3 linked regions of the Arabidopsis thaliana genome follow. The protein of the gene in region 1 purifies or fractionates together with the protein of each later gene. This does not show direct contact. Each region holds a gene or a part of one and is shown in the gene's direction. Other genes may lie near its edges.

What was found.
Region 2: the proteins of AT5G63190 (region 1) and IMPA-8 fractionate together in Arabidopsis thaliana (co-fractionation; one large-scale study listed by BioGRID). This does not show direct contact.
Region 3: the proteins of AT5G63190 (region 1) and IMPA-2 fractionate together in Arabidopsis thaliana (co-fractionation; one large-scale study listed by BioGRID). This does not show direct contact.

The regions. Positions count from the first base shown.
Region 1 is NC_003076.8:25,342,847-25,351,410, forward strand, and holds AT5G63190 (MA3 domain-containing protein), read left to right. Parts: upstream 1-2,695; 5' UTR 2,696-2,956; exon of another isoform or gene 2,957-2,965; intron 2,966-3,298; coding exon 3,299-3,515; intron 3,516-3,696; coding exon 3,697-3,794; intron 3,795-3,882; exon of another isoform or gene 3,883-3,923; coding exon 3,924-5,717; 3' UTR 5,718-5,954; downstream 5,955-8,564. Other genes in the region: AT5G63180 (Pectin lyase-like superfamily protein), read right to left, coding at 83-267; AT5G63200 (tetratricopeptide repeat (TPR)-containing protein), read left to right, coding at 6,197-6,360, 6,684-6,900, 7,118-7,210, 7,290-7,391, 7,510-7,677, 7,754-7,842, 7,914-8,035, 8,183-8,364. UniProt on the Arabidopsis thaliana protein: Involved in target of rapamycin (TOR)-regulated translation control, especially under energy-deficient conditions.
Region 2 is NC_003076.8:21,116,277-21,123,682, reverse strand, and holds IMPA-8 (importin alpha), read left to right. Parts: upstream 1-2,563; coding exon 2,564-2,581; intron 2,582-2,665; coding exon 2,666-2,765; intron 2,766-2,858; coding exon 2,859-2,941; intron 2,942-3,015; coding exon 3,016-3,138; intron 3,139-3,216; coding exon 3,217-3,393; intron 3,394-3,468; coding exon 3,469-3,632; intron 3,633-3,715; coding exon 3,716-3,794; intron 3,795-3,892; coding exon 3,893-4,021; intron 4,022-4,118; coding exon 4,119-4,246; intron 4,247-4,334; coding exon 4,335-4,659; 3' UTR 4,660-4,737; downstream 4,738-7,406. Other genes in the region: AT5G52010 (C2H2-like zinc finger protein), read left to right, coding at 867-2,057; CBF4 (C-repeat-binding factor 4), read left to right, coding at 5,896-6,570.
Region 3 is NC_003075.7:9,131,081-9,140,216, reverse strand, and holds IMPA-2 (importin alpha), read left to right. Parts: upstream 1-2,801; 5' UTR 2,802-3,082; coding exon 3,083-3,307; intron 3,308-3,395; coding exon 3,396-3,584; intron 3,585-3,669; coding exon 3,670-3,801; intron 3,802-3,916; coding exon 3,917-4,102; intron 4,103-4,184; coding exon 4,185-4,348; intron 4,349-4,435; coding exon 4,436-4,514; intron 4,515-4,871; coding exon 4,872-5,000; intron 5,001-5,155; coding exon 5,156-5,283; intron 5,284-5,391; coding exon 5,392-5,767; 3' UTR 5,768-5,769; exon of another isoform or gene 5,770-5,892; 3' UTR 5,893-6,467; downstream 6,468-9,136. Other genes in the region: AT4G16141 (GATA type zinc finger transcription factor family protein), read left to right, coding at 7,324-7,497, 7,926-8,345.

The DNA.
Region 1 (8,564 bases):
ACTTGGAAGCAATATCTAATACCAAACATTTGACTATTTGAGTGTATGTAAAATGCTTTTACATTTTTGTTAGAACATATACCTGTGTACTTCCTCGACAACAAGCTCAGGGTCGGAAACGGGCAAAGACGAAGCGAGAGCGGAGAACAAAATGCAGCAGAAAAAGATAAGTGCGAAGGATAGATATGAAGAATTTAGCATTGTGTTTCTTTGGCTTTTTGTTGTTGATAAATTTGAAGGTATTAAAAGAGAATTGGGACGAAACATATGAGTGAAGAGAGAAAGACAAAGCAAAGCGATAGACTATATAGCATATGAACACTTCGGGTGATTTATTGCGCATGCAACTTGACGTTAATTGGACCCACCTTGCTTAACCTTTTTCCTCTTCTTGTGAAATTATTTTGGTGTGTGAGAATGGAATCAACCCAAGTCATTTTAGAGAAGAAGAAATAATGCAAAATGTTTCCTAAGATTCAAATTTCATGATACCTGATAAAAAGTGTTTGGCTGAACTAAAAAGTGTTGTTCAGAAATGTAATTCTGATCAAGCTAAACGGAGCTGGTTATGATTTAAAAACGGAAGGAGTAATATCAGCCATCATTACAAATATAATTGGCTCAACAGTTCTAATAATTAAGATTATCAAACCGATAGCACTTAATACTGTATTCAACATTCAGGTAACGCTAGGAATGAGTCACGTGGCTTAAAGAAAAAAAACACAGAACTCGTAATTAAAATCTCAACGAACTTAAAGCTGAATGTTGGTGAAACACTAAGTACGGTGCACCAAAAGTCAACACTGTGTTAGTAATGTACTTTAGTACTAATATTTAATATTACGGTTTAATTTTTGTACCTTTATCATTACTTTTACGTTTTAACGGTTGAATATTATCAATAGCATAGCAGTTAGCTCAATTTAACTGATTTTTTTTTTTTCCTTTTTTTTTTTTTTTGTTAAAGCTCATATAGTAAAGTATTACATTTCGAGATACTTTAGTGTTTCTGCTATCTACTAAACCATATTTTGATAACTAAACGTATATGGATTGTAATTGTAAGAATACGATATTTGATACACTTTGAATTGTTTGATAAGTTGGTTTTAGAGTGTTTGTTATTATTATTATCTTTATACAAAATGAATTTCTTTTGGTGTCTCAAAGAGATATTGCTTGCAGGAAAAGAGAAAAGAATAGACCCACCAAAAGCAATAGAATAGGAGAACTGAGCCGACACTGGCCCATAGAGGTTTGATTTTGGGACCACCGAACCATGTGCTCGAGTCCAATCTTTCAATAAATTCTACACATATAATTTTCTTAAATTCATATAACGTTTTTAGAATAGTAGTGTATTCATTCATATCTAACAATCAGACCCTATGTTGAAATTTTGGCTGGTACAAAATGTGTTGACAATCAATGCACATGGGAAGTATTTGCATCATCACTCTATATCCTCCTCCTCCTCCACACTTTAAAAAGAACAATGTCTTTAAAAACTTAATCAACTATTCGATTACAAGTCTCGCCGACATTTTTCTTTTTGCTAGAGCCATTCATGTTGATGAATTTTCACTTCGGGCAAAAATATGGATCATGAGTTTAAGTCTAGTTTTTTTTTTTTAAATTACTGTTAGTAGCAAATTATTTTATACATTAAGCAAATTGTGTATTCTGGTACATAAACTGCAGAAAACAATTAAATGACATTTCTCACTACATTTTAGACAGTTTTGGACATTCATTCGATTAGTAAATGATTTCGTTCTCGTACGTGATGAAACACGAGAACCGATCGACATTAATGTTCCTTTTTCAGAATATTCTCAACGCTCAAAAGCTAATCTATATACATTTTTCACTACTTTTTACATGATTCATAGAATACAAAAATAATTGAACGCATTTGAATAAGTAACTAAATATAGAGTATGATAATATCTAATTCAACCATTTTAATTATTGACTACATTGGCTTATCAAACTGAAACTTGATCATTTGGATAAGCAAACTTAACAAATTAATGTTTTGAACAAATGCTCAACTTTACAAGTTTTTTTTGTCTTCTATACGAAATCAATTCAAGTTTCATGACATTGTCTTGTGAAAAAAAAACAAGAAAAAATGTAGAGAATTGACCTTTCTATAAAGAAATAGAGTCGTTAGATTGGATTTAAGGTGGTAGATATAAAGAAAACCGTCGGATCAGAAAATAGAGACAAAAGGGCATGTGACCGGTTTTTGCTTGAAAACTACTTGCTAACTTCTTCTCTACTCATTTATCAGTGTTATAATTTTTTTGTTTTTTTTATACACATAGTACGTTCACTAAAATAACAATTTAAAATGAATATTGATATAATTTAGTCATAATAATTTGAAAAATATAAAATACAATATCCATATCTGTTTTAAAACTATAAACATGATGGCCATGATCTAATAATATGATTCCATGAAGCATAAAACTTTTATTAACGTAGTCAACCATTGGATATTGTCCAGCCCAAAATATCTAATTCAATGGGCCGAACCTACCCAATACAGCCCATTGTTTTGGATTAAAATCTTTAAAAAAATTGGAGGCTAAATTAAAAAAAGAAGGAAATATTCTAAGCCCTCCACGTATTACGTTGATGACGTGTACCATCGTATATAAACAAATGCACAAAACTTTATTATATTGTTGTAAAGTAGTACTTTTATTGGCGATCCTCATCCATTTCCTCTCTCGTCGTTGTCTGGGAATCGGTGACTTTTGAATCTTTGCGACTCTCTTGTAGTGATAAATTGATCGTTATCTACTTTGATACTCTCCGGTCGTTTTTCTCCGGTGCTGGAGATCCGATTCCTTATCTTTTCTGTCTTGGCTCGAGATCCGAGCCAAGCAGTAAAGAAGACGACTTTGTTTCACGATTTGGAATTTGATTCCTGCGATCACAGGTATGACAGGTTAGATTTTGTTTTGTATAGTTGTATACATACTTCTTTGTGATGTTTTGTTTACTTAATCGAATTTTTGGAGTGTTTTAAGGTCTCTCGTTTAGAAATCGTGGAAAATATCACTGTGTGTGTGTTCTTATGATTCACAGTGTTTATGGGTTTCATGTTCTTTGTTTTATCATTGAATGGGAAGAAATTTCGTTGGGATACAAATTTCTCATGTTCTTACTGATCGTTATTAGGAGTTTGGGGAAAAAGGAAGAGTTTTTTTGGTTGGTTCGAGTGATTATGAGGTTATTTCTGTATTTGATTTATGAGTTAATGGTCGTTTTAATGTTGTAGATGGCATCGGGTGAGGGAATTTTGACGGATGGACAGTGGAAAAAGCTTGAAATAGCAACTCATAATTCTGGAAGTTTGTCATCATCGCCTAAATCTCATACTCTCTTTGCTGATCTGAACATTAAGTCTCCCACTGGTGGCAAAGGACCAGTTGCTGGGATTCCTAATAGGCATGTGCGACGTACTCACTCAGGGAAGCATATTCGTGTTAAGAAGGGTATTAAACTTTCTTCAACCTTTTGTGCTTGTTATTTGGCTAATAGATCCTTTTAGGGAGTGATATGACTCTTTATTAGTTCCTTTCAAATTTGCTTTAGTGAAAAGACTTAAGTTTTCAGTAGAAGAGTTCAAGTGTGTAGGTGATATATGGTTTACTTATGTGGCAATGATATCTGCAGAGGGTGCTGGTGGCAAAGGAACTTGGGGAAAGCTTCTTGACACTGATGATGGTGACTCCTGTATTGATAAGAATGATCCCAATTACGATAGTGGAGAGGTACTTTCATATTTGCGCCTTTTGTTTTGTGTTGGATACTTTTCCTTGTTTCTTTAGTGTATCTAACATCCCTTGATTTTATCTTTTATTAGTAGTTTGCTTTTTTCATTCATATACTCAATTTAACAGGACGCATATGATGGACTTGTTGATTCACCGGTATCAGACCCGTTGAATGATTACAAAAAGTCAGTAGTTTCCATCATTGACGAATACTTTAGCACCGGGGATGTGAAAGTGGCGGCATCTGACCTCAGGGAACTTGGTTCAAGCGAATATCATCCTTACTTCACCAAGCGACTTGTTTCTATGGCCATGGACAGACACGATAAGGAGAAGGAAATGGCTTCAGTGCTACTCTCTGCATTGTATGCTGATGTTATTTTACCTGATCAAATTAGGGATGGATTTATAAGACTTCTCAGATCTGTTGATGACCTTGCGGTGGACATCCTTGATGCTGTTAATGTCCTTGCATTGTTTATTGCACGGGCCATCGTTGACGAAATTCTCCCTCCGGTTTTTCTGGTTAGATCTAAGAAGATTCTTCCAGAATCTTGCAAAGGGTTTCAGGTTATTGTAACTGCAGAAAAGAGCTATCTCTCAGCTCCTCACCATGCAGAACTAGTGGAGAAGAAATGGGGAGGTAGTACTCACACTACAGTAGAAGAAACGAAGAAAAAGATATCTGAAATCTTGAAGGAATACGTGGAAAACGGAGACACTTACGAAGCTTGTAGATGCATCAGGGAATTAGGTGTCTCGTTTTTCCATCATGAGGTTGTGAAGAGGGCTTTGGTTCTGGCGATGGATTCTCCAACCGCTGAGTCACTTGTACTAAAGCTGTTGAAGGAAACTGCTGAAGAAGGACTGATCAGTTCGAGTCAAATGGTGAAGGGATTCTTCCGAGTAGCAGAGAGTCTCGATGACCTTGCTCTAGATATCCCATCTGCCAAAAAGCTGTTTGATTCGATAGTTCCAAAGGCTATTTCTGGAGGCTGGCTCGATGATTCATTTAAGATAACCTCTGATCAAGATGGAGAAAAATCGAGTCAAGACGGAAAGCTAAGACAGTACAAGAAGGATACAGTGAACATAATTCAGGAATATTTCTTATCAGATGACATTCCTGAGCTAATCCGCAGTCTTCAAGATTTAGGGGCACCTGAATATAACCCGGTGTTTCTGAAGAGGCTCATAACTCTTGCTCTAGACAGGAAAAACAGAGAAAAGGAAATGGCTTCGGTTCTTCTTTCTGCTCTTCACATGGAGCTATTCTCAACTGAAGATTTCATAAACGGTTTCATTATGCTCCTGGAATCGGCAGAAGACACAGCTTTAGATATCATGGACGCATCAAACGAACTTGCTCTGTTTTTAGCTAGAGCTGTGATTGACGACGTCTTAGCTCCACTTAACCTTGAAGATATCTCAACCAAGCTGCCTCCAAAATCAACCGGAACCGAAACAGTCCGCTCAGCCAGGTCTCTTATCTCCGCCAGACACGCAGGAGAGAGACTCCTAAGAAGCTGGGGAGGTGGAACCGGCTGGATAGTGGAAGATGCAAAGGACAAAATCTCGAAACTCCTAGAAGAATACGAAACAGGAGGAGTAACATCAGAAGCTTGTCAATGTATCCGCGATCTAGGGATGCCTTTTTTCAACCACGAAGTAGTGAAGAAAGCTTTGGTGATGGCAATGGAGAAGCAGAATGATCGGTTACTGAATCTGCTTGAGGAGTGTTTTGGTGAAGGATTGATTACAACTAACCAAATGACGAAAGGGTTTGGTCGTGTTAACGACAGCCTCGATGACTTGTCGCTTGATATACCGAACGCGAAAGAGAAGTTTGAGCTGTATGCTAGTCATGCCATGGACAATGGTTGGATCCTTCCCGAGTTTGGGATTTCTGCAACTCAGTGATTAGTGGTTCTCTTATCAGTTTCTTGTGTTTGTGCTTACGATACTTTCCTCACTATCTACATATATGTATGGATTCAGTTAGTAGATAAACATGAGATGTTTATATGTTCATGTGTTTCTGTCTGGTTGTTGTGTTTTGTCTTTGTACTGATATCTTTTAGTGTGTTCTAATTTCTGATGGATTTTTGTTACATTGAAAATAAGTTATTAGCATGGTTAATTTGTGTTAACTTATTACTCTTGTGATATTTTATGAAAATTATTTATAAATATAGAAAATATGGTAATTAAATTATAAAAAGATAAATAAAAATATATTTGTTCGGTCGGTGAGATAATTATGACTCCGGTTCCGGGATAGAGCAAACAAAAGGATAGACCAATACTCGTTGCCAAACAGCTTTATCCTCGTTTTTATATTTGTTTTGATTCTTTCTTCTTCTGCTCAACTTTACTGTCCGGCGTACTCAGCACCATCAATGGACCGCCCGGAGACGATCGCCGTCAAATGCGAACCCATGACCGTTGACTCTCCTTCTCGACCTCTAAAGCTTGTAGTTTTAGCTGACCTTAATTTCAATCCTCCTGAGACTGATGATCTTGACTCATCCATTCCAATCCCTACTCCTCCTCCCATCACTAGGTACTTCTACATACGTAGTTGTGTGTGTTTCAGCTAATTAACCTATTTCTTTCTGTTGCTTTCGACTAACTTTCTTTTGCTGAGATTTTTTTTTCCTCTGTTCGGAAGAAACATATGTTTGAAGTGACATTTTTGTTACGGGGTTGAATATATTGATGTCTTCTTATGCCGCAAAATCTAAAAATCGAGACTTTGGATATCTTTCAGCAAGAGTCTAAAAATGGGGAATTTTTTTTTTGATAAGTAGAGTTTGATTCTTACTGCTTTGGGGGATAGGAGAAGCTTCATGATTCTTAACTTAAATACATTTTTGTGTGTTTTAGGTTGAGTAACGAGGAAAGTCATCAAGAGGGAGGTATATTAACATGCAAGGAGGTGGAACCAGGAGAAGTAGAAGCCAAAAAGATCAGCAAGGTGGGAAAATGCCGCTCCAGAAGTAAGATTGAGTCTTCCTCTGATTGTGGAGTTGATGCAGATGGTGATCTGGCTAATCAAGGGGTCCCTGCATCCCGGGAAGAAAAAATCAGTAACCTCAAAATGGTGAGTTTATTGACTCATAGTATCGTAGAAAGTGTGCTTGGTCATATTGGGGCTAGGATTTCATAAAGTTGCCAAGAATGCATTCATCGTTAAACATTTGGAGAAAGAATGATGATGGTCCTCTTATATTCATAATGCTCTTCGCAGTTGATTATTGGTCTAATTTTCATGATGATGATGCTCTATATAAATTCTGATTTTCCTTCTCTGCTTATAGGGTTTGATTCATGTTGCAAGGAAGATGCCCAAAAATGCTCATGCCCATTTTATACTTGGTCTTATGTTTCAACGATTGGGCCAATCTCAAAAGGTACGCTTGAGCTGAGGGTACTCTGATGTATCTTAGAATAATTATCATCTTAGTGATTTTAACTGCTAGGAGGTTTTAGGCGATACCAGAATATGAGAAAGCTGAAGAGATCTTACTGGGTTGTGAGCCAGAAATTGCTCGGCCAGAACTTCTCTTATTAGTTCAAATTCACCATGGACAGGTGATGATCTTTGTGTCTGAACCAAATTTCATATTTGAAGTTCTTGTATTCGAGAGCTCCTTAGTTTATTGACAATTCACTCGAAGGTTTTAACATTGTACACTTGAAAACATTTTAGTGTCTTCTTTTGGATGGTTTTGGGGATACTGACTCTGTTAAAGAGCTTGAGGGAGAAGAGCTTGAAGAAATTCTTTCAAAATTAAAGGATTCTATAAAGTTAGATGTTAGACAGGCAGCCGTGTGGAATACCCTTGGTTTAATGCTTCTCAAAGCTGGTTGTTTGATGGTAAATTTCCTCACCATGTTGGTTGATTATCAATGTCATTCCTTTTGTTATATAGTTTTGCTTTGTTAATTTGTAGAGTGCCATATCAGTTTTGTCATCCTTGTTGGCTCTTGTTCCTGACAATTATGATTGCCTTGCAAACCTTGGAGTTGCTTATCTTCAAAGGTGAGGAGTTTTCTTCCCCTCTATTTCTAACTATTATCGTGATACTTCACTCTAATGAACAAGTCTTCCAGTGGCGATATGGAGCTTTCAGCAAAATGTTTTCAAGATTTGGTACTGAAAGACCATAACCATCCTGCCGCTTTGATAAATTATGCTGCCGAGCTTCTCTGCAAACACAGTTCAACTGTTGCTGGTTTGTTTCTTATCAAAGAACCTCTAAATTGTTTGCTCCTCTCAATCTGCCTAAGCAAAGTACACATGAAAAAAGTAGAGGGAAATCTATCTTATGTAAACTGTATTTTCACTTGTAACATGTGAATGTATTTTCAATTGATGTCAGGTGCCGGGGCTAATGGTGGTGCTGATGCTTCTGAAGATCAGAAGGCACCTATGAATGTCGCAAAGGAATGTCTCTTGGCTGCTCTAAGATCAGATCCAAAGTCTGCCCATGCGTGGGTGAATCTTGCTAATTCATACTATATGATGGGTGATCACAGAAGCTCGAGCAAATGTTTGGAGAAGGTGCTCTTGGCTCACTTCTTTGTTTTGAGGTTGTTCATTGTTTTCCTTATATTAGACAGAAGGGTTTCTATTACTTGATTTCCTTTTCACCTTTTCTCGAGGCATATTTGGTACTTGGTGAAAAAAGTAATGCAAAATAAGTATGAGGAGTCCTGCATATCCTGCCCATTCTTCATATTTTAACTTGGGATGATAAGGAT
Region 2 (7,406 bases), 4.2 Mb from region 1:
AAGAGAAGATTTTTTGGAACTTAACCATCAGACCACACACACACATCTTTATCATCCTATGAATATCCAACGAATACTACTACATAGAGAAGAATGAACATGTTACATTTATATCATGTTTGACTAGAAACAAAACAACATAGATCATTTTTCTTGTTAACCTTTGTATAGGTTTTCAATGGCTTCCGCTTCTCTCTGATTCTTTTTTACCATATATACTACTAGATCTACTGTCTTAGGATTCTCTAACCTTTAGGAGTTCAAAATTTATCTCATGAGCTTGAAAGATGTCAATTACTTCTCCAAACTCGACGTTATATGTGTCAAGTACTACATTCATGTCATGACAACCTTTTGTGCATAAAGATACCTCAAAAGCTTTTTTACCAGTTTCGTGTCCTTATATTTTTTTTTGCATACCTCACATTTTATATGGTTTTAATCACTCATCTTTTTATATATTCTCACCCATCCTTATAATTTCAAATTGAAATACCATCATGTCCAATATATTCTCACCCATCCTTATGCATTGTGTCTCATGTGTCTTTAGCATATTTCATATCCCTGGATCAACTTGAGTTAGTGAAACAGTTAGAAAGTAAAAAACAAAGGTAAAGTCTCTCTCGTCAAGACCCTCCGAGTGTACAAGAGGCTCTCAAACAACAAAAGCAAAAGGATAAACTTTTGTTAGCTCAGACTATCCACATAGCCGTCGTCTTCCTCGCCGGACATGCTAGAAGATAACAATCCACACCCAAACTTACCCAGAGAGACAATCTCTGATTCACGTCCACTACAATTACCGAATCTCTCCGAAGCCACCGATCACCTACGCTAGTTTCAGTGGCAATTCGAAGCTTCCAATGAGTTTGTTCTGTAATTCAATCGAAACCCTTTATCCAAAACCATTCCTTTCACACAAATCTCACTTCTTTACCTTCTCCAATTCCAAATTCCAAAACCCTAAATTCACAAGCTTCCCACTTCGTCACCAATGGCGGATCGAATCATGTCTGAAATCAGCATCTTCATCAGAAATCGATATGGTAAGAAACAAAGAAGGTATCTTTGCACCAAAGGAGAAGAAAGTTGTAGTCTTATGGGACTTAGACAACAAACCACCACGAGGTCCACCATACGAAGCCGCAACAGCTCTCCGTAAAGTCGCTGAGAAACTCGGCCGAGTCGTCGAAATCTCCGCTTACGCAAATCGTCATGCTTTTATCCATTTACCTCATTGGGTCGTCGAAGAGAGACGAGAAAGGAGGAACCTTGATTTCATGGAGAGGAAAGGAGAAGTGACTCCAATTGATCCGTACATTTGTGGTGTTTGTGGTCGCAAGTGTAAAACCAATCTTGATTTGAAGAAACATTTCAAGCAGCTTCATGAGAGGGAGAGACAGAAGAAAGTTAATAGGATGAGATCTTTGAAAGGTAAGAAACGTCAGAAGTTTAAGGAGCGTTATGTTTCAGGGAATGAGAAGTATAATGAGGCTGCGAGGAGTTTGTTGACTCCTAAAGTTGGATATGGTTTAGAGGCTGAGCTACGTCGAGCAGGGGTTTATGTTAAGACGGTTGAGGATAAGCCTCAGGCTGCGGATTGGGCGGTTAAGAGACAGATACAACATTCAATGACTAGAGGGATTGATTGGTTGGTTTTGGTGTCGGATGATAAGGATTTTTCTGATATGTTGAGGAAAGCTAGAGAGGCTGATCTTGGGACTTTGGTTGTTAGTGATATGGATAGAGCATTGGGAAGGCATGCTGATTTGTGGGTGCCTTGGAGTGGTGTTGAGAAGGGAGAGATTGGTGAGAAGGATTTGATTCCGGGGAAGAGACCAAGGTTTGAGGAGGATGAGGTGGGATTTGGTGGTAATGATGAGTTGTTTTCGTTGTCGTATGATGAGGATGAGAAGGCGGAGATGACGGTGGAGAGTGATGGGTTTGGGAGGTTTAATGTATCGGCGTTTTCGGAAGATGAATGGGTGGAGGATGAAGGAGACTTTGTGTTGAGTGATAGTAGTGATGATGATAGTGATGATGAGCTTTTCTGATTCATGGTGAATTGAGTTGCATTTCTAAGTGTTGTTAATTGGTTTACGAATAGAGTTCATAGGAGCTTTGGTCGATGTAATTGAAATCAAATGTAAAACCATTCTTACATAAGCCAAGATTTTGTGCATTCATGTGGTCAAAGGCTTTGAGAATTCAAGTTCTTACATAAACCAAGATTTTGTGGTATTGTGGTTTGTCGAATTGAAATTTTGGGTTGGAGTAAACCGGATTCAAATCAAATTTTTATTTTGATCGGTTTAGAGTAGACGGTTAAGTAGCGACTGGATTTTTTGATCAGACGGTTAAAATAAAATCAAGAAAGAAACGATAACTGAAAAACCCGTTTTTTTACGCTTCGTTAAAATTCTGCTTCACCATTTTTGTTTGCATTCTTGCTTGATTGCAAAATCTTTGCCTCTCTCACATTTCAAGTTGAGATTTCTAGGGTTTAGTCTTTAAGTTTTCTAAATTGCTTTGGAGAGGTCGAAAAGAAGAGAGAAAAGCCATGGCTTGGAAAACAGAGGTCCGTTTAAAACTATCTCACAAGTAATCACTCTCTGGTTGATTTTGTGTTGGACTAGTGAGGTTTTTAGGGTTTGGATTGTAGGTGAACGAAGTTTCAGATGATATAATCGATGGTCTTTGGTCAGATGATCCTCCATTACAACTTGAATCCGTTACCAAGATCAGACGTATTACATCACAGAGTAAAAACTTCCTCTGTTTTTTACTTTCTTTACTTTTTCTTGATCTCGGTTTGAAAGATTCGTCTTTTATCATTTACTCTAATATCTTTCCAGGAGATATATCTTGTGTGATACGATCTGGAGTTGTACCGCGTCTCGTTCAGTTGCTTAAAAATCAAGTTTTCCCCAAGCTTCAAGTTAGTTGATATTTTATGATGATGATCAGTGTAACCTTTGATTACGATATATTCAGTGATCTTTGTTTTTATAGTATGAGGTAGCTTGGGCTCTAACAAACATTGCTGTTGACAATCCGGGCGTGGTAGTTAATAACAACGCTGTTCCAGTATTAATTCAGCTTATTGCTTCTCCTAAAGATTATGTTCGTGAGCAGGTAAGTATTTTACTACGTGTAGATATGAGAATACTTGTCACAGACTCACAGATATGAGTTTTGACATTATTCTTGCAGGCTATATGGACACTGAGTAATGTTGCTGGTCATTCGATACATTACCGTGACTTTGTTCTTAACTCTGGGGTATTGATGCCACTGTTGCGTCTTCTGTATAAGGATACTACACTCAGAATTGCTACTTGGGCTTTGCGTAACTTGTGTCGTGGCAAGCCTCACCCGGCTTTCGATCAGGTCTTCTTACTTCTCTCTCTGTCTCTGTTTCCTCTGTTTTGTATACTTTTTAACATATGAAGCATGATTCAACAGGTGAAACCTGCTCTTCCTGCGCTTGAAATACTTCTTCATTCACATGATGAAGATGTCTTGAAAAATGCTTGCATGGCACTATGTCATCTGTCTGAGGGTTCAGAAGATGGAATCCAAAGTGTGATTGAGGCTGGTTTTGTCCCAAAACTAGTTCAAATTCTCCAGTTAGTACTTCTCAGAATATGTATTTAACCCTTTTGTGACATGTTTGGATAAGGAAAGGCTGACAGTTTTTTTTCTTTTGCAGACTCCCTTCTCCAGTGGTGCTTGTTCCTGCACTTCTTACCATTGGGGCTATGACTGCTGGAAATCATCAGCAGACACAGGTATGTATTTCATATTCAACTTACGTTGTCCACCTTTTGGATTTTGTAACCAAACAACAAAATGCTTTGTTATACACCTCTTTGAACTTATTCTTCAGTGTGTGATCAATAGTGGTGCTTTACCCATTATTTCCAACATGCTTACTCGAAACCACGAGAACAAAATAAAGAAGTGTGCTTGCTGGGTGATTTCAAACATCACTGCAGGGACTAAAGAACAAATTCAGGTGAGAAACTTTTGTTGCTATTATCCCCAATGAAAATTTACCATTTTTGTCTTTTGCTATCACTAATTTGTTTTTCTTTTTCCCCTGGTGATTACAGTCAGTTATTGATGCAAATTTGATTCCAATCTTGGTCAATCTTGCTCAAGATACTGACTTCTACATGAAGAAAGAAGCTGTATGGGCAATTTCAAATATGGCCTTAAATGGTTCTCATGATCAAATCAAGTAACGTCCCTGTCTTGTTTCTTTTTTCAACTTTAATGTACTTATTATAGATCATCAAGTCTCACAATTCTCCATTGGTGTGATTCAGATACATGGCGGAGCAGAGTTGCATAAAACAATTATGTGATATCCTAGTATATTCAGATGAAAGAACCACCATCTTAAAGTGTCTGGATGGATTGGAAAACATGTTGAAGGCCGGAGAGGCTGAAAAGAACAGTGAAGACGTGAACCCTTATTGTCTACTGATTGAAGATGCGGAAGGGCTAGAAAAGATTTCGAAGCTGCAAATGAACAAAAACGATGATATCTACGAGAAGGCTTATAAGATTCTGGTGACGAATTGGTTTGAAGAGGATGATGAGAACAACAACAACAACGTCCGATGTGATGATGTGGACTTTCAGGTGTGAGAGAACCAAAGTTCCAGTTCCTTATATGGAAGATCCCAACACAATTATTTGTTATAGTGAAAAAAAAACATCTTACATGGGACCAAAGGCTTTGCACCTTTGTTGTCTCAGGGCTTTACTTGGTCTTTAATTGAATGTACAAAGTTGATGTAAAAGCTTTGGCTCCATCGTTCATGGAGTCTAGTACATTGTTTTGGGTTTTAAAAGTTTTCTGTGTTAAAGCTCGTCGTCTAATTGATGTTGTGTTTGGTTTTAGTTGAAAGGTTTAGACGTTTAGTAAAAAAGTTACTCAAATTCTTGAAATCTCCTTGGCCTTGCTGATTATAAAATCAAATATTCATTTATAAAATTATGCGAAAGGGTCTAATTATTTTTGAAACCGAATCGAATGAAGACAACTCCATTTTGATTGATTTTTTTTTTGTTGTATTAAAGAATAAAAAACTCGACTGGTTCAACAAGACTGGATTGTCTTTAAACTACTGGTTCAATGTATTTTGGGTACATAATGAAAAAAATACACAATCCGCCTTGGCCACGTATCCATCTTTGGCTTAGTTGATGATGATAATACTTTTGTTTTTTGGTAAGGCTGATGATGATAATAGTTAGAAGAAGTTCATAGAATAATCCAATGGATTTCCAATAATAAAACACAGAAATAAATATAATCCAAACAATTGCCAAAAATAATGAATAAGAAAAGGGACCCACACCAAAAGCTAAAAGCGCGTGGGTCAGATTACAAAAAGCGAAACCCCAAACCGTGGCTAGACAGCGGACGAACCCGTCCCTTCAAACGTGGCTCACCTTTCGAACCACAGAGAGCAGTTTACACTCCAACTGTCAAAAACGTGTTCCCATGACGTCATCCTCAACGTATCTTTATCACTTTTTAAAACTAAAGACTGTTTTGTCTTTTTCTAAATCGTCCCCTTTCTCCGAACACCATACTTAAATTCAATAAAATAATAAATATCAAAACTGAACCATCGAATCGGAACCAGCCACAGTACACAATACACTTAGACGAAGTAAAGTGATTCAGAAGGACACGTGTAAGTCACATACCGTGGGACACTTGTCGTTACCAGATCCTCCGTGTTTCTCACTTTTCTTATAAAATAAAAACACAACACTTCTTCACTTTCTGTAATAAAAATATCTCCAAAAGTTCCAACACCTGAAAACATAAAAAGATAGAAAGAGAAATAAAACATCTTATCCAAAGAAAAAATGAATCCATTTTACTCTACATTCCCAGACTCGTTTCTCTCAATCTCCGATCATAGATCTCCGGTTTCAGACAGTAGTGAGTGTTCACCAAAGTTAGCTTCAAGTTGTCCAAAGAAACGAGCTGGGAGGAAGAAGTTTCGTGAGACACGTCATCCGATTTACAGAGGAGTTCGTCAGAGGAATTCTGGTAAATGGGTTTGTGAAGTTAGAGAGCCTAATAAGAAATCTAGGATTTGGTTAGGTACTTTTCCGACGGTTGAAATGGCTGCTCGTGCTCATGATGTTGCTGCTTTAGCTCTTCGTGGTCGCTCTGCTTGTCTCAATTTCGCTGATTCTGCTTGGCGGCTTCGTATTCCTGAGACTACTTGTCCTAAGGAGATTCAGAAAGCTGCGTCTGAAGCTGCAATGGCGTTTCAGAATGAGACTACGACGGAGGGATCTAAAACTGCGGCGGAGGCAGAGGAGGCGGCAGGGGAGGGGGTGAGGGAGGGGGAGAGGAGGGCGGAGGAGCAGAATGGTGGTGTGTTTTATATGGATGATGAGGCGCTTTTGGGGATGCCCAACTTTTTTGAGAATATGGCGGAGGGGATGCTTTTGCCGCCGCCGGAAGTTGGCTGGAATCATAACGACTTTGACGGAGTGGGTGACGTGTCACTCTGGAGTTTTGACGAGTAATTTTTTGGCTCTTTTTCTGGATAATAAGTTAGTTTAGGGATTATTTGGACATCTAGGATTGGTCCGGAGTTCCGTACCTGTATTTTTTGTTTGGTACCAAATCTTTAGTAATAAATCGTCTATCATTTATTCTTGTTAGAATGTTCTTTGTTTGTTTTTGGTAAACAGATTTGATCAAATTAGAGCTATAGAATTTGAAAATTTTGTTTTGTTGTATCTGAAACTGTAAATAGATTTCTCTTTGTTTCGTTGATGTATTGACAATCTTTACCAAATTTCCAGAGCTTATAAAAGCTTGAAACCTCTGCTTTTCCAAATATAATCCTGATTCACATTATCATATATTCCTTGTAGACTCAGCAAAAAAAATTAAAACTATAAAATCTCTTACACATTAGTCCAAACACGTGAATGAGTAATAGAGGTCCTTGACCATTAGACTGATATAGCTTCTATATTGTGGTTCTTAAAAAAGGTAGAATATTTATATGTGGCCTCAAGCTTCTCATGAGTCACGCCTTATGGTAATCATCTATCTTTTTTCTTCTAAGCAAACACTGAACACTTGGAAATCTTTTCACTAGAAAAACATGTCCCTGGCCCTCACTAACTTTACATGTCCTTTTCTTTCAGTTATAGAAGTGTGGGGTTTCTTGGCTCGCTAGATTTAAAAACCCTTCATTATGTATAGGGTTGTGCTTGTGCCTAGAACCCTTCATTCCAAGGCAAAAGCATAAACCTACAATCCGGTCTAAATCAGAACCGATTTAAACCGAGAGAAAACACTAAAGTAATTTTGTAAAATAGAGCCATCATAGGGATAAAATAGTAACTAA
Region 3 (9,136 bases), on another chromosome or scaffold:
ACGATGTTTGGGTCACTTATTAGTTATTACCAGAAAAACTACCATTCTGATGGACTAAACTGCCAATGCTGCTTGGATTTTCTATTTATGGTATCATGTTTATTGGTTGCGTTTTGTGGAATTCTTCTTTGGTTTTGGGATATTGAAACAAGAAATGAGTCTATGAGACTCAAGTGCTACTCCATATTAATCTGGGATGATCATTGAGACTTTAATTGTGCTCCTGAACCTGCAGATCTTTTGATTTCCTGCCTCCAAACCAAGCAACCTTGTCAAGACATTCATTTCTAGGTCCGAATGGTCTTAAAAGGCAAATGGTTGCACCCAAGTCAGAGATAAAGGTATAGTGCTGATCATTGTTACCTTTCTCACATTTTCTCACTCTTTCTTTTACTCTTGGTCCAATTCAATGTTTAATTATCTTAGATCTGAAGGAACTGAGAAAAATCTTTATTTTGTATGGAATGATAGGTTCAATATCCGAGTAATACAGATTGGGGTTCTGCGGACAATTCAGGGTAAGTACTCATCTTCTGTTACCTTCTAAGCTTTTCCTTAAAGAAGTCATGGCTATTTCAAACTGACTCCATGTATTTCTGCAGTTTAATTGAAGCTGGACCTAGCAGTTCCTCAGCATCACTTAATGGTGATTCTCAAGAAGTCTCAACACTGAACTCTGTGCTCTCCTTAGATGATGGTCGATGGCAGCGTCATTCTGAGGCAGTAAATTCCCAGTTTATTAGCGACGCAACTGAAGACCCGTTTCAGTTTGTCGGTATGAAGCAACCTTCCCCTCCTCCCGTGCTTGCTCAAGTGCATCAAGAGTTAGCCCAAATTTGCCCATCTAAAGTAGCTGATCCTAGACCAGGACCTGCAATTCCTTCCCTAGAAGGAAAAGAGGGCAGCAATTCTTATCAGCATTTGCATGTGGTATGTTCCAGCTGTATCTTCTTTCACTTTTGTGCAGTTTCCACCAATTCCATAGTGTTTGTGAGAGTAAAGTGGAAGGGATATGCATATCAAGTAGAAAATTATCCATGATTAGTCTAATTATTTGGTATGTGTTCAAGAATCAACACATTAAATCATCGAAGTATTGGATTCATGACCATTACAGCTTCTTAAAAGCTTGCTAGAATCGGTTCTGGAAATCTTTCTCTTTCACCTCTTCTTAATCTACTACTAATGTTGTCACCCTTTATTTAAATTTGCTGAAGCCTGTGCGCATAATGGATGATTTCCTAAGGCTAGCTCGGTCAAACACAGAACGGAATTTAGAAACTTGTGGAGTACTTGCTGGTTCTCTGGTGAGTAGATGGAACCTTTGCATTTATAATTTTTGATTCCAATATCATGATCAGCTCGCCATTACTTATATTCTGTCTATTTGCCATGTTTACAGAAAAACAGGGTTTTTCATATCACTACTCTCATAATCCCAAAGCAGGAGTCTACCTCAGATTCTGTATGTTCTTCATTTTTCTTAACCATTTACATCAATAACAATCTTTTTAATTCTCGCTGGTATGCTTCTCACACTTAGGTTCATCATCATTTGGGTAATGTACAGTGCCAAACACTAAACGAGAAGAAATATTCGAGTACAGGACAGACTCTCTCTATTTCCCTTGGGTTGGATTCATGTAAGTTCTCTCACCCGAACTAAAAAATCTTCCATTTCCAGATAATGACTTACCAAAACGTTACTCAGAACAATTGTGAATCCATATATCCACTAGTTGATAAGCTTTATCGATTCGTCTTGCTAATTTACATTTTGGTTTCAGACACACCCTACACAAACTTGCTTCATGTCATCAGTTGATCTACACACACACTACTCGTATCAGGTAACAAACTCCCCTTATCAATATCTCTATGTTAATCACTTATGATGCGATTATAGTAAAACCATCATCTATATCTATTGTCCCAGATAATGCTACCGGAGGCGGTGGCAATCGTAATGGCACCAACAGACGAATCAACACCTCATGGAATATTCCATCTCTCTGATCCATCAGGCGTATCTGTGATCCGAAACTGCCAGCAACGAGGCTTCCACCCACACGAAGAATCAGAAGACGGTAACCCAATCTACGAGCATTGCTCACACGTCTTCCTCAATGCCAAACTCAAATATGAAGTCCTCGATCTCCGCTAAAAGCCAACCTCCATCACCATGTTATTATTTTTCCTGGAGTCTTAACTTTAAAGAGACATTAAAAAGACCTCAGAGATCAGATGTCTCAGCCGTACATATATGTGTATACTTCTTAAAAAAACCTTCTCTTTAAAGTTCCAAACTTGGCTGAGCCGTCTTAAGTAATGATGATTGTGTTTATTTATAACGAGTACACTTTTAAATTCGTATGCACCATTTCACAAAGCCAGATGTTTGATTAAAAAAACATAAGTATTTTTTTCTGACGATTTTTTCATTTAAATTAAAATTCATTATAGTCTGTGGGAAAGACCTGATACCATGAAAGTTGAGGTGAAAATCTGTTATTAGCTTTCATCAGATAAGAACGGAGAGAGAATAACAGATTTTCACCTCCTAGATAATGCTACCAGAGGTACTTGCAATCGTTATGGCTCCAACAGACGAATCTACCCCAATATATGAGCATTGCTCATACGTCTTCCTCAACGTCAAACTCAAATGCGAAGTTCTCTACTCTAAACTTTCTTAAACGAATATAATATACTTTTAAAATTACTTTCACAAAACCAAGTTTTGCCAAAAAAAAAACTGTATTTTATTTTAAATTAAATTTAGTCGGTGCGAAAAGACTAATGAATAAACAAGTCAACTTAAGTAAATTAATGGTCTCTGTATCGAATCTTAAAATTTAGATTTACCAAAATGTTTTTGTAAACCAACGAAATTCAATCTTTCTCTCTGTGCCTTTTTTCCTCTTTTCTCGTTCCCCTCTACTTCATTTAGGGTTTATCATCCTCTACCAATCCGCCGATTCTATACATACACTTTTCATATATATACATACATCGTCTCCACTCTCGTTGGCTCATTTTTCATTCACCGCCACGAAGCAAGAGGAGATTCGTATTAGCCACCATGTCTTTGAGACCTAACGCTAAGACTGAGGTTCGCCGGAACCGCTACAAAGTGGCGGTGGATGCTGAGGAAGGAAGACGGAGGAGAGAGGACAACATGGTCGAGATCCGTAAGAGTAAGCGTGAAGAAAGCTTACAGAAGAAGCGTCGTGAAGGCCTTCAAGCTAATCAGCTACCTCAATTCGCTCCTTCTCCTGTTCCTGCTTCATCAACTGTTGAGAAGAAGGTAATATTACTAGCGATCTGGAACCGTTTCCTAGGATTTGATTGGTTTAGATCGATTCGATTTTGATTTTGGTTTTGGTTTTGGCTAGTTGGAGAGTTTGCCTGCTATGGTTGGTGGTGTTTGGTCAGATGATAGAAGTTTACAGCTTGAAGCGACTACTCAGTTCCGGAAATTGCTTTCTATTGAGCGTAGTCCTCCGATTGAAGAAGTGATTGATGCTGGTGTTGTGCCTCGGTTTGTGGAATTTCTCACTAGAGAGGATTATCCACAGCTTCAGGTTTGGTGGATCGTTATGTATCTGTCATATTTTGCTAGAATTGTCTTCTGATACTAATTACTTGTGTGTGTGTGTGTGATTTCAGTTTGAGGCTGCTTGGGCATTGACAAACATTGCTTCTGGGACTTCAGAGAATACAAAGGTGGTCATTGAACATGGTGCTGTTCCGATTTTTGTTCAACTATTGGCTTCTCAGAGTGATGATGTCCGTGAGCAGGTAAGATATGTGTTTATGGTTTTTTCTCATGACTCAATATACTGTCAATTTTGTTTGTTTTCGGGAACAAGCATGTTCTAAAGCTTGTTTGTTTCTTAATCTTTTCATGTGTAAGGCTGTGTGGGCATTAGGGAATGTTGCTGGTGATTCTCCACGGTGCAGAGATCTTGTCCTTGGTCAAGGAGCTTTGATACCATTACTCTCTCAGTTGAATGAGCATGCTAAACTCTCGATGCTGAGAAATGCTACTTGGACCCTCTCTAATTTCTGCAGGGGCAAGCCACAGCCTCCCTTTGACCAGGTTTGTCTCTCATTCCTATCTTAATCTCTGCCCAAAGATGAAGGAGTTTTTCTTTTTAATTCTTGTGATCTCTTAATAACAGGTCCGTCCAGCACTCCCAGCCCTTGAACGCCTGATTCATTCGACTGATGAGGAAGTGTTAACGGATGCATGTTGGGCTCTCTCTTACCTTTCCGATGGCACAAATGACAAAATCCAATCTGTCATTGAGGCAGGTGTTGTTCCTCGACTCGTCGAGCTTCTCCAGTGAGTTTCAAATCCCATGATTTCACCGTGCTTTTGTATAATGAATGTTATGTGTTAATGAATATTATCAATTTTATTTTGCTGTAGGCATCAATCACCATCTGTGCTTATTCCTGCCCTTCGTAGTATTGGTAACATTGTCACTGGAGATGATCTGCAGACACAGGTATGTTTGTTCTTTTATAGTGTCATTCATTCATATTATTCAGGATACATGGTCCAATACTGATGGGAAGAATGAAATACACTGGCTAGAAAGCTGAATCTGAGTTTGTTGATAATGACATTTAGTTGTCAAAAGTTACTTGTCAAATTCTTCCTAGATGAATCTCTAGAATGGGAACTGTCAATTCTTCCCAGATTTTATTTCCCCCCCTGCATGTTTTTTACCCTAGTTATGCAATACCTAACATTCCTTTTGAATAGTTAGACTAATTTAAGGCAGTATGTATAATACTCTTAAGAATCTCACACATGTACCATTCCTCACTTATTTTGCTTTCTTTTTTGGTTGGTTCTACAGTGTGTAATTAGTCATGGTGCACTTCTTAGCCTTTTGAGCCTTCTGACTCACAATCATAAGAAGAGCATCAAAAAGGAAGCTTGCTGGACAATCTCAAATATCACTGCTGGAAACAGGGACCAGATTCAGGTGAACTTTTGCTAAAGATTGTTGTTTCTGCTCAGCTTATCAGTTTCTCATAAACTAATCACTAATGTTGGAAGACATGTTTCAGAAGCCTTTTTGTTGTTTGAAGAAAGATGTTCTGTGTGTTTATGTTCTCTAATATTGTTGTGGTATTGCAGGCTGTGTGTGAAGCTGGTTTGATTTGCCCTCTTGTCAATCTGCTTCAAAATGCGGAGTTTGATATAAAGAAAGAAGCTGCGTGGGCAATATCAAATGCCACTTCAGGTGGTTCTCCTGACCAAATCAAGTAAGATTATCCGATATAAACTCCATGTTCTGTTGATCTCAACTCCTTTAGAATCTTTGTTGGTTATTTTTCAAACAGTCAATTAAGTTATTCCGTTGTGTGTTTTAGGTACATGGTGGAACAGGGAGTCGTGAAACCACTGTGTGATCTTTTGGTGTGCCCTGATCCAAGGATTATCACTGTGTGTCTGGAAGGATTGGAGAACATTTTGAAAGTTGGGGAAGCTGAAAAGGTCACAGGAAATACCGGGGATGTAAACTTTTATGCACAGCTGATCGATGATGCTGAGGGATTAGAAAAGATTGAGAATCTGCAGAGTCATGACAACAGCGAAATCTATGAGAAGGCAGTGAAGATTCTTGAAACGTACTGGTTGGAAGAGGAAGATGAAACTTTACCACCTGGTGATCCCTCTGCACAAGGCTTCCAGTTTGGAGGAGGTAATGATGCAGCCGTACCACCAGGTGGATTCAACTTCCAGTGAAGGTAAAAAAACCTCACTACTTGGGACTAATTTATCTAAGCATCTAAGGCTAGACTAGCAAACAGAGTAAATCTGCCTGTGTGTCTACCTTGTGTGAATCTGTGAGTCTGGTTTTGCTTCCACAGGAGCTGAACATGACGATTTGAAGAGTCGAAGGAGCTTAAAGAGTTTGGGGGCACTGGTTAAAAAGGGTATGATTAGAGAGTCTGGTCTTCTGTGTAAAAGTCAGATGGGGTGCCTTACTTAGTCTGGCCTGGTCCGGTCAGATCCAGTGGTTGGTGGGTTTGAGTCATGGAATAAGCTTGTTGGGGGGGAGTTGGGTAGGAGTCATCAAGGGATATTTATTTTTGGGAAAGGGTTTATAAGTTTTTAAAGTGTGATCTGATGAGAATGTGTCTCTCTGGGTTTTTGTTACATTTGTACTACACAACACTGCAAAGTCAAACATAAAAAAGTTGGTCAAACTTTATTTGGTCTTATTGGTGACATAAAAGCCCAATTGGTTCGTCTCTTTATTGTTTATAGTAAATGTTTTTTTTTATAATCTATTTTAGTGCGGTCCAAGTCATTTTGGGCTATTGTCTACATATGCACGCGTATCTAGTTTCAACATATTTCCATTAATCGATGTTATTAATGGTTATCGTCAACTTCAAGTAGGGAGGGTTTCAATAATAAAAAAATCCTATGTTTTGTTCAATCCCTGTCGTTTATAAGCGTAGGTATGCCTTGGACCCAAAAGAACTCAAATATTCATAAGTCGATTACACAAATTTAAATAAGATGAAATTGACCAAAAAGAGAGATGTTTTGTAATTTTCATACAAAAAAAGTTGCACTACACGAGCATGTCTTCGATATACCTAATATTATTACATAAATTTTTCGTATTTCATTGTGAAGAATTACACAAAATATCTAAAAGACTGGTAAAAAATGCATGCATATCTCTAAGCCCAATTAGGGAAATCTAACGTGGCAAACAACCACAACGAGTAAATCCAATGTATTTCGTGCGCCAGGTTTTGAATTAAAATTTCAAATTTGGTACCAAAGCAAGCAAGATACCAAAAAACCCCCTTCCACAAGATCTTTGTTACAAGTTGTTGTTGTAAAATGATTTTCCCTCTTCTTTTTTCAGTTTGTGGTTGTTTTATTTTTTGGCGGGTGGTTCTATAGTAATAAAACACCGCGCTCGAGGGTAAAAAAGTAATTAAGAAAGAGAAATCTAGGGTTTATTAGTCCCCGCCTCCTCCTTTATTATAAAAACCCTCTCCGTTTGTTTTATCCGTTATTCTTCTGCGGCGTCTCTCTCTCTTCCTTATCATCATCATCTTCACTCTAAACTTCACAGAGAGCCATTCAAGCAGAAGAAGAGCTCTTTGATCCTTCTCTGCCATTTCCGTTACTCTCCTTTCTTCTGTTTCAGAGTTTTCTATTCTTCTCAATCCTATCTCGCTTCGAAGTGGATCAATGTGAGTTTCCATGATCGTTTTTGATCCTTCTCTTACTTGTAGTTGATGATCACGTTTAATAATTGTCTTTTTCTTTTGTAGATGTCAATGACGGAAGAAACCAAGACGACGAAGCTCGAATCGGCGGGAGATTCGTCCGATGTAGACAACGGGAACTGTAGTAGCAGTGGAAGTGGAGGTGATACGAAGAAGACATGCGTTGATTGCGGAACAAGCAGGACTCCTCTTTGGCGTGGTGGACCTGCTGGCCCTAAAGTAAGGATCATGATCTCTCTCTACCATTTTCTTTTAAACCCTTAAAAATCCAAGCTTTAAGGTCTCATGTGTTAGATCTAGTCAAATAGGTACTTGAATCCACTTAAAATGTAGGTTGATCTTGTGTGCTTAGCTCTGTTGCTAGTGGGTTTTGTCTCATTGATGTGATCATGTGTATACATAGTCTAGGTATGCGAGGTTTGTGTCAATCTGTGGTTGATATTTAAATTTGTTATGTGATCTCTATGTTTTGTTTTGATTCTGTGTTTGAAGCCTTATTACTAATTGATCAGGTTAAGATTATTGTTACACTGTTTTTATGATGCCTTTTTTACTAAGAGATGGTTATGTCTCTTTAATTTTAGATCTGTTTGATGATTGTTCACTATTTGTTCTCTGGTCTGATCATGGATTGACTTTGTTTGCAGTCATTGTGCAATGCGTGTGGTATCAAGAGCAGAAAGAAGAGACAAGCAGCTCTTGGAATTAGACAAGATGATATTAAAATCAAGAGCAAAAGTAATAACAATCTTGGTCTTGAGAGCCGAAATGTCAAGACCGGAAAAGGCGAACCAGTTAATGTTAAGATTGCCAAATGTGAACCGGGAATTGTCAAGATTGCCAAAGGTGAACCAGGAAATGTCAAGAACAAAATCAAGAGAGATCCTGAGAATTCCAGTAGCAGCAATAATAACAAGAAGAACGTGAAAAGGGTTGGTAGATTTTTGGATTTTGGGTTTAAGGTACCGGCGATGAAGAGATCGGCTGTGGAGAAGAAGAGGCTATGGAGGAAACTTGGGGAAGAGGAACGAGCCGCAGTACTTCTCATGGCTCTTTCTTGTGGTTGAGATTTTGTCTCTTAACCCTTTTTTTTTGATGTGTCGTAATGGTTGAGTGAAAGAGATTAGGGAAAATAAGTTAGTGAGGAAATGATGAAGAGAGGATTATTAATCCTACTTATCATATATATTAGTTAATGTAATTTTAGAGGCAAGCTAATGTTATATGCCATCTACTAATTAATTATCGTATGAACTCTGGTTTAGTTGATTAATGATCATTTCTTTGAAGTTGAATGATTTGTAATATGTCTCTATTCTTAATTGTTCGCTTAAAGGTGGCTTAAAATGATCTTTTATTAGTTCCAAAATTGTGAATTTTAAGGATCTTTTTGTCACTACTACTCGCTAGTAACGATTTGTTTGAGTAAACTCTAATGGTCAATCAATTGATAAAGAGTCTTTTATTTTTAAAAACTATTATGAATTAGAAAGGAAACCTAATGTGAATTTTGAAAATTTTGCTCCAAAATAAAGTCCAGCTGTTCATATATTGGATATCTCGACCTCCACGCGATCTTGAAGCGCGTGATCTCAGAACGAGACAGCTATAAACAGCTCATGAGTTTTGGGCTTTTCGTTGATGATTATAATAAAAACAGATTTTTTTTATTACAAAAAAAAAAATAAGAGCCGGTGATGGAGACAATTGGGTCTCTCTTCTCATTTTATTGCGATTCTTTTTTTTCTTTTTTTTCACGTCCTTTTTTTTTACAACAAAAGGTTATAAAACATTTTTCTGGCTTCCAAAATTAAAAGATATTATTCTCTTTATATTTTTAGATATTTATTTATTTAAT